Rattus norvegicus: one gene and its partner. The protein of the gene in region 2 purifies or fractionates together with the protein of the main gene of each other region. This does not show direct contact. Links are inferred from orthologs where the notes say so. Each region holds a gene or a part of one and is shown on either strand. Other genes may lie near its edges. The genes, in order: Psmb4 and Fbxo7.

What was found.
Region 1: the proteins of Fbxo7 (region 2) and Psmb4 purify together in Homo sapiens (affinity purification with mass spectrometry; 3 studies listed by BioGRID and IntAct, counting the BioPlex papers as one, with this or other methods). This does not show direct contact. The link is inferred for Rattus norvegicus from reciprocal best matches to the Homo sapiens genes FBXO7 and PSMB4.

The regions. Positions count from the first base shown.
Region 1 is NC_086020.1:185,131,463-185,135,807, reverse strand, and holds Psmb4 (proteasome subunit beta type-4), read left to right. Parts: upstream 1-1,246; 5' UTR 1,247-1,271; coding exon 1,272-1,411; intron 1,412-1,533; coding exon 1,534-1,740; intron 1,741-1,955; coding exon 1,956-2,102; intron 2,103-2,612; coding exon 2,613-2,694; intron 2,695-3,302; coding exon 3,303-3,419; intron 3,420-3,654; coding exon 3,655-3,743; intron 3,744-3,905; coding exon 3,906-3,918; 3' UTR 3,919-4,021; downstream 4,022-4,345. UniProt on the Homo sapiens protein: Non-catalytic component of the 20S core proteasome complex involved in the proteolytic degradation of most intracellular proteins. This complex plays numerous essential roles within the cell by associating with different regulatory particles.
Region 2 is NC_086025.1:19,722,363-19,726,874, reverse strand, and holds the start of Fbxo7 (F-box only protein 7), read left to right. Parts: upstream 1-1,694; 5' UTR 1,695-1,727; coding exon 1,728-1,849; exon of another isoform or gene 1,850-1,997; coding exon of another isoform or gene 1,998-2,034; intron 2,035-2,092; exon of another isoform or gene 2,093-2,266; intron 2,267-4,097; coding exon 4,098-4,392; intron 4,393-4,512. UniProt on the Homo sapiens protein: Substrate recognition component of a SCF (SKP1-CUL1-F-box protein) E3 ubiquitin-protein ligase complex which mediates the ubiquitination and subsequent proteasomal degradation of target proteins and plays a role in several biological processes such as cell cycle, cell proliferation, or maintenance of chromosome stability.

The DNA of each region.
Region 1 (4,345 bases), on a different chromosome or scaffold from region 2:
ATTTCTTTTTCTTTTGCTTAGGAAATGGGAAAGGTCATTTGACAACAAAGAAATGTTCAGTTTTGTCCAAGGTTTCACAGGCTGACCAATCTACCACCTGTTTCAGGAAGACATAAGTGTAGCATCCTTCCTTTAAAAGCACCAACTCATTGCTTTGTTTTACTCACTATTGTTGCATGTGTATGAGTTCAGGGTGAATGTGGAGGTCAGAGACAAACATCGAGAGCTGATTTTCATCTTCCAAGGAGGCCCAGGTGACTGAACTCTTCTGAATGTAGTATTTGGCTAGGAAGCACTTTTACCCCTATCCTGACTTCCCTTTTAAATCAGGACCTTTCGGTTGTTCAGTTTGGCCTGGGCTCGGAATGTAGTCCAGAATGGCCTTGTACTGGAGGCACTCCTTCTGTTTCAGCCCTCTAAGTACTAAGATGAGATTCATTCTCTCTCTCTCTCTCTCTCTCTCTCTCCCTCCCTCCCTCCCCCCCACCATCCCCCTGTCCACCTCTCCCTCCCTTGTAAGTGCCTGGTGCCCTCGGTGTCTTGAAGAGGATATCTGTAACTGGAGTTACAGATGGTTGTCAGCCACCGCGTGGGTGCTTAGATTCGAACCTGAGTGCTCTTAACGTGAGCCGTCTCTTCCGCTTGGTTTGTATCTTTTCTACCCTCTATTGATTGTAACGGGGGAAACCACTGTATCTCATGCATCGGCTTCTTATCTATCGAATGGGTTGATAATTCCTGCTACTTGGGGCCTGCTTTGAGAAGTAAAGCTATTAAGTGAGCTTGGGTTCAGAGATTCTTCAAGTTTTGTGAGTACACGGTCGCTGTCTTCAGACACACCACAAGAGGGCATCTGATTCTATTACAGATGGCTGTGAGCCACGGTGTGGTTGCTGGGAATTGAACTCAGGACCTCTGGAAGAGCAGTTAGTGCTCTTAACTGCTGAACCATCTCTCCAGCCCTCAAGTCGAGTTTTGGATACTGATCCAAACAGGACGTGATAACAGGTCCTGGTGCTTGTCCCACGCGGCCTGCTCCTCCTGAGATGCTGAGAGGCATCCCTACTGCAGTGGGACGAGGACGCGACGTTGCACTTCCATCAGTCTTAGCGGTTACTCTGGATCAAGACTCCCCAAACCGCCTCATTAATACAGTGCCTCTGAGTCTTCGCGCAAGGAAGTGGCAGACAGGAAGAAGAGGGGCGTGGCAAACGACGACTTCCGCTTCCGGTGACGGGAGCGCTTTCATTTTTTCGGCAGTGGTGACTAAGATGGAAGCGTTTTGGGAGTCACGGACTGGCCACTGGGCCGGGGGTCCGGCTCCGGGGCAGTTTTACCGCGTCCCGTCCACCCCCAGCTGCCTCATGGATCCGATGTCTGCGCCCTGCGAGGGTCCCATCACTCGGACCCAGTGAGTCGCGCTCTAACCGCGCAGGGAAGGGGCGGCGGGCCGGGACGTGGGGACCTGCGGTGCGAGGGCCGCCGCAATCGGGGCGCCGGCCTCCGCGCTCAGAGACCCTTTTCATACTTCAGGAACCCCATGGTGACTGGGACATCCGTACTAGGGGTGAAGTTCGACTGCGGAGTGGTGATTGCTGCAGACATGCTGGGCTCCTACGGCTCCCTGGCTCGTTTCCGCAATATCTCTCGTATTATGCGAGTCAACGACAGCACTATGCTAGGTGCTTCAGGAGACTATGCTGATTTCCAGTATTTGAAGCAAGTTCTCGGCCAGATGGTGTAAGTCGTCTCCATGTGAATCGGACAACCTTCCGTTTATTATTCCCGTAGGTGGGATGGAGGGACTTGAGACTTTCGGTAATTGTTGAGACACATGTGAATGTTTGGAACACTTTTTGGAATTGGGGCAATCTGGGAGTGTAGAACTGCGTGTAGAACAGGAGTGGGTGGGGAACCTGTCGGTTATCACTCCTTTCTCATCCAATTGTATTTAGGATTGATGAGGAGCTGTTGGGAGATGGACATAGCTATAGTCCTAGAGCTATCCATTCATGGTTGACAAGGGCCATGTACAGTCGCCGCTCCAAGATGAACCCTCTGTGGAACACCATGGTCATTGGAGGCTATGCTGGTGGAGAAAGGTATTTGATGACTTCCTTGACCGCCTAAGCTAGCACCTATGTAGTGTCTCTTCAGTCTTTTCTTTTCTTTTTTTTTTTCTTTTTTTTTTTTTTTTTGGTTCTTTTTTTTGGAGCTGGGGACCGAACCCAGGGCCTTGCGCTTCCTAGGTAAGCGCTCTACCACTGAGCTAAATCCCCAGCCCCCTCTTCAGTCTTTTAAACTGTTTTTTTCCTCCTTTTTTTGTGCCCCACCCACCTTTAAACTGTTTTTTTACACTTCTTTTGGTATGTGTGCTTGTGTACTACAGTGTGTGCATGTGCGTGCACGTGTGTGTCAATCTCTTCTATATTCTGAATTCTAAGGATTAAATTTGGGTCATCAAGCATGGTGGCAAGTGCTTTTACCCACTGAGCCATCCAGCTTCCCTACCCTCAGATTCTTTGAGCCCAGAGAACTCCCATCTTTTAATTCTCATGGTCACATAAGAAATATAAGATTAAATGGATTCTTTGATCTGTTTGTCCCTCTAGCTTTCTTGGTTATGTGGACATGCTTGGTGTAGCTTATGAAGCCCCTTCACTAGCCACTGGTTATGGTGCATACTTGGCTCAGGTAAGTAGTGGGCCTAGCAACAGGGAAGAGAGAAATAGATGAGAAGCCAATGTTAGTCTATTTCCCTTGGAGTTCTGATAAGAGACAAGCTGGGATCCTAAGGCTGGGCAGCTGGTTTTCTTTGTATAAGGAGAATATGTTTACATTACCTTCCAGTGACAAGAAACAGTGATGGGAAGAATGGCCTTGTTACAGAGTAGAAGCCCTAGGACTCCCCTCTTTAAGAGGGTCTTAGCTGTACACTCTGTAGTAGTAGTGCACAGGAGACTGGGGCCAGGAGGACTGTGTGTTCCAGACCAGGCTCCATAGCAAGACTCCCATTTCAAAAACAAAACAAAGATTCTTTGGGTTGAGGCACTTGCTGCCAAGGCTGACAGCCTGCCTGGGATCACCATGGAACCAGCACCTCAGCTGTTTTCTCACTTCTGTATGCATGTGCACACACCCATACAAAAGAAATGTTGGACAAAAAGGCCAGCACCCAGTTCTTTTGAAACAGTGGGGAGAAAACTGTCATTCACTTTGGTGCCTGTTGACGTGGGAGGGAGCAGGTTGCCTTCTGTTAAGCCAGTGTCTTAATTTCTCCAATTCTTTGCCTGCCTCTGTAGCCTCTGCTTCGAGAAGTTCTAGAGAAGCAACCGGTGCTGAGTCAGACAGAGGCCCGAGAGCTTGTGGAGCGCTGCATGCGAGTGCTGTACTACCGAGACGCTCGTTCGTATAACCGGGTGAGAAAGGGGCTGCAAGGTATAAATTCTGGAGTTAGGCGTGGTGCTGCATGCCTAGTCCCAGCGCAGAGGTGGTGGGACTCTGCATTTGAGGCGATTTTGGTCTACATAGTGGGATGCTGTCCTAAAAACTAAAGTGCAAATTCTGGGACCACTGTTTTGCAAATGAAGGACAGCCTTCTGTTTGATCTTTGTCCGGACTGGGGTTTTCATTGCTCGCTTTGCCTTCTTGCAGTTTCAAGTTGCTACTGTAACTGAAAAAGGTGTGGAGATAGAAGGACCACTGTCAGCACAGACCAACTGGGACATTGCTCACATGATCAGGTAACTGACCTGCAGGAGATGGGCAGAGCAGGGAAGCTGTTGGCTTTCCCAGAGCTGTCCCTTCTGGAGGGCTCAAGCAGAAACTCTGGGTGGTTTTGGGGGGAGCTCCTTCAGAAGCTGAGACCTTAATACTTCACTTTTCCTAAATGTTTCTTTTTTTAGTGGCTTTGAATGAAATCCAGATGAAGTGTCCAGAGTTGAAGCTTGGCCCTTGTGAACGTGACTGTAGCTGGCTCAAAGGCAGACTTTTGTAAAAATAAATCAGTCCTTTGAAGTGTTGCTGAGTTGGGTTTTTTGTTTTGAAACAGGATCTCACTATATAAAGCCCAGGCTTACCTGAAACTCGGAAATCTGTCTGCCTCCGAAATGCTAGAGGTAAAAGCTTCTGCCATGCCTGACAATTCAGTGTTTTCATTCTGACGTGGTCACAGCAAGGTCTCAGCTACCAAGTACTGGTTTGTACCGTGTCTGCTGTTTCCTGGAGAGCACCATTTAGCACTTCATGTATGTGCCCAGAGGTGGACGTCAAGTCTTTCTCAATCATCCTCCATCTTTTGTTGTTGTTTTTTGGGACATGGTTTGTATGAATCTGGGCTTACCAG
Region 2 (4,512 bases):
ATCGTCCTGTTATGTGGACATTCAAGCAGATCTCTGGGGAAAAAAAAATCTGTGGCCGGTAGGGTGATATGTGTAGTAAATTCTGGCGGGAGACCCTGAGACAGAACTAACTACCTAACCACCCTACACCCAGGCTCCCAATCTACAGAATCTATGGGGCAACACATGTTTATCGATGCAGGCTAGTAAGCTTTGAAGGACATCAGATATGCGGCAAGAGGTTACTAATGCACCGTGCGACAACTGAAAGCTGTAACACGAAGGAGATAGAGGGGGTGGCTTCAAGTTTCTAAGAGCAGCGCCAAGGAAAAAATGCAGTAGGGATTGGTAATCCCACAGGAAAAAAGATCAGTCCTTCATGTCTGAGGAGAAAGACCATCAAACCCAGATCATCATGGCCATATTAATTAATGCAAGCTTATGTTTTGGTTTGTGAACATGGGCTGGACATAGGTAAGGTAAGGTTTTAATAGTTCAGGAGCAAGGGGGGTTTCCAGATGAGGATTTGGCAGGCGAATAGGCACTGATTACTGAAGCAGAACGCACGCACGCCAAGTTGGTCATGAAAACCTCTTGAAATGAAGACATGGTTTGCAAGGGGTTCACAGCGGGTTTGTCATAGCAACAGGTTGTCATAATAACCTTTTGTAATAAAGGCATGGGGCAGTACAGAGCCATTCGTAGTTATGTTTACAGGTGGGACATAGACCAATCCTTGAGAAGGAGAAATGTAATCATAAACAGGAATGGACCTAGTTTGCTTTTACTATAAGATGTCGTTTGAGCCTGAGATGAAGGCAGGCTGGTTTATCAAGATTTAACCTGGAAAGTGGAGAGCTATACTGTTGTGGCCTTCAAATCCATGGAGAGAGACCAAAGACTCAGGCTCAATTCAAATTTATATTAAGTGAGTTTATTCTTACTGCTAGCAGACGGCAGGCATCTTTAGAGCCAAAACAACATTCCATAGGGAGAAGGGGGGGGGCTAAGGATTAAGAGGGGGGTTTAAATTGGACATCAGAAAGGTGTATATTACAACTATTCACGAAATCCACAGCTGGGCAGGAAAACTGTTTTACTTTCCTCAATTGCTTCTTATCTTCCCTATGTAGTAATTAAAAGATCATTTCATCTGTTTCCCATAGCGATAGTGAGTTTTAAAGAAGCAAAGGCAGCTGTTAATACCTCACGGCCATTGTCCTATTCTTATCTCACCTGTAGGCCTCTAGGATCTCCCAGGCCGACAACAGCCCTTAAGGGATCCCTGGCTCCACATCCTTATCACCACAGGGGACCTATGTAAATTATAGGCAGGTCTGAGCACTAATGACCGGAATAGAACAGGCAAAACCAGGGCCATCAGGTTAGGGCGTCTGTCACGTCTGCACACTGTGGGCAGCGCTCGTTCCAGCGCTAAAGATCCTGCAAGCTGGGACCGAAAGAACGAACTCGCTCACCCGGGCGGAAGCGCACAGGGTGTAGCGTGGGCACTCGGCGCAAGGCAGCGAACTCAGCGCCTGCGCCGTGCGCGCCTCGCCCCCCAGGTGGCGCTGTCGCGCCCAGAGCCACCGATAGAGAAGCGCAGGCGCTCGGCACTCGGCTCGAGCAGAAGGCTCTAGGGGGCGTGGTGGAGAGAGCGGCGAGCTGGGATTCCTCAGGCGCGCAGGCCCGGAGCTACTTGCTTTCGGTTTCTCCCCGGGCCGACCGAGGCTTGCGGTCCGCTCACCATGAAGCTGCGCGTGCGGCTTCAAAAGCGGACCCAGCCGCTCGAGGTGCCGGAGTCGGAGCCGACGCTCGGGCAGCTGCGCGCGCACCTCATCCAGGACCTGCTGCCCACGTTGGGGTTCAGGTGAGCGGCGTCGCGGTCGCGGGGCTCGGGAATGGCGCGCGTCGGGCGGTCACATGAGGTCCGGGCCTCCGGGGCGTAGCTGGTCTAGACGCCTGTGACTGTGACGCTCGGCAGCTGAGTGCTGGCCGGGGTCTGGCTTTGGGAGACCATGGCCCAGCCTCCCCCTGGTGCCGCTGTCCACCATGGTGAGTAGTCACTTCCGGGTTGCTGTCACGGCCGCCCCGAGGGCGGGAGGGAAATTCGGGAAGCTTGGCTTGCGTTAAACCTCCCAGTGTAAACCCACTGTGGGTGGAATTTACCTTAGCGGTTAGGATACTTCAGTGGTTAAGTCGGGGAAAGCATCGTAGCTGAAGTGACAAACTTCTTGACATCCTACGTCGCTGTAATTTGTGCCACCGCCCAGGGCTACAGTAACAGGTGAGCGTGCATGTGCCAGACTGCACTTAACTGTAACTTTCTCACTGCAAGGTTTGGAAGTACGCATTCTTCGGGTCACTGGGCATTTTCTGGGTGAGAATGTTTGTTGCTTTTTCTCTAAAATAGAGGCTTGACCCTATAGAGCTTGCAGTTTTGTGGCAAGTTGAGAAAGGATTAGGTTCTATTACTAATTTATGGGGTTGCAGATGAAGCTTCTATGTTTCTGTAGAAGATATTTTCAGGACGTAGAGAGACAACTATATGGATGACCCATTTCAAGTGCTGAGCTAGAAATTTGAACTAGTGAAGAAAATAAAATTAGAAGATGGGCTCTGGTGCTTTTAAAGGGAAAAATGTTAAAAGAAAAACTCTTCCCGTTAATTGGCATTTTAAATAAGTCTTCCCCTTTTCACTTTATTTGTAGGGAATTAAGCAAAATGAAACTGATTAGATTGGTCACCCCCCCACCCCTCCCCATTAAGTAAGCCTGAGGTATACCTTTATTCTAGCGCTCTGGAGGAAGAGCTAGGTGTATCTTTGAGTTCATTCCGGACCAGCCAGTGTTACACAGTGAGACCCTGTCTAATAAAATAATGTTAGGCAAAATATTTTAAAAAGCCCTTTTTCACATTAAAAGAATTAAACAATGTATTCCCATATCGTATATTATATATATTTCCATATAATGGTGACCTACCTACATGTTACTCATTTGGTGTAAAACTGTTTTCTATGTTGATAACAATTGCCACTCCTCAGGCTTTGAGAATGCAATTTTTAAGGTATTTACAAATTGTATTACTTCTCAGTTAAGCTGGGCAGTTTTGAAAGGGTGTGAAACCCAGAAGCCCCTGTTAGTTTCTCTTGCCTGCTGTTTTCACAGTCGAGGTCGGTGTGAAAATCTGAAATTTTGCTCATTTGGGGTACAAAAGGGAAGCTTTAAAATGTGTCCATGTGACACACTTGTTGTTCTTAAAGAGTATTTTCTAAGTAAGCAAACCAAAGATTGGTATAAAACAGATTTTTTTTAAAGTTTGAAGCTTCCTCTTTCCTTTTTGTTTTTGTTTGGAGCTTCTAGAATTGCATTTTTTTTTGGGTGAAATTCCCCCAATGCCGGTGATTACAGAAAATAGGACCTTGGAAAAACATGCCAGAAAAGTGGGAGGGGAAGCTAGCATCTCTGTTAAACAGACGGCTCCTTATCTTGTCTACAGAAGGAATTGTTTGCTTGGGGACTGTCCCCTTTCCTGCCAAGGTTGACCTGGTGTTTTCATGGGCACTGGCAGATTTTCAGCTTCTTGCTGATCAGAACACTTTGCAAGCAGCAAGCAGAGCAGCTTACTGTCTGTGGAGTAGGAATAAATTTAACTCCAGTAACATCTTTAATTGATGAGAAAGGAAAGGATGCGTGTAAGAAAAAGGAATCGGGCTGGGGAGGTGGTGAAAGCTTTTGATGCCCAAGCCTGGCACCGGAGTTTGAAGTCCTCGCACTGATGGGAAGCCGGAAGTAAAGTGGTGTGTTAAGTTTAAGAAGCTCCTCGAGTTCAGCCATGTTGAAATACTGAAAAGTATATGCTCGAGGATCGATGAACATATGAATTAATGATAAGTATACCTTCCAGGCTATTGAAGTTTTAGTTAGAAGTCTGTGACCCAGGCATTTGATCAGAAGAACAAGTAATTTTGTCCCCTGCTTTCTTTCTTTCTTTCTTTTTTTTTTTATATTACATAGTGCTTTTGGGCACATAGCATGTACTTTAATGTATTCCAAATGCATTATTTGGAATATTGGTAGGTAGCTCTTACTATGCTCATCCGTCTTTCTTGGCAGTTCTGATACCCGATTTGCAATTACATTGAACAACAAGGATGCCCTCACTGGAGATGAAGAGACCTTGGCTTCATATGGGATTGTTTCTGGGGACTTGATATGTTTGGTTCTTGAAGATGAAATGCCGGCACCTAACTTACCTTCATCTACAGATTCAGAGCATTCCTCTCTCCAGAATAATGACCAACCTCCTTTGGCTGCCACCTCAAGCCAGGCTAACATCCCAGATGAACAAGGGAGTGATTCATCCCACGGACAGGTCACCCAATATGATGCCTGGACCGATGACAGTATGGTGGGTATTAAAGATGAAGAGATGGAATAGAGTAATTGATAAGGTATATTGACACTTCAGAGGAACTCCACACCGGTCAGGATGATTAGCATCAGTAAACTGTAGACTGCCCGTGGTGAA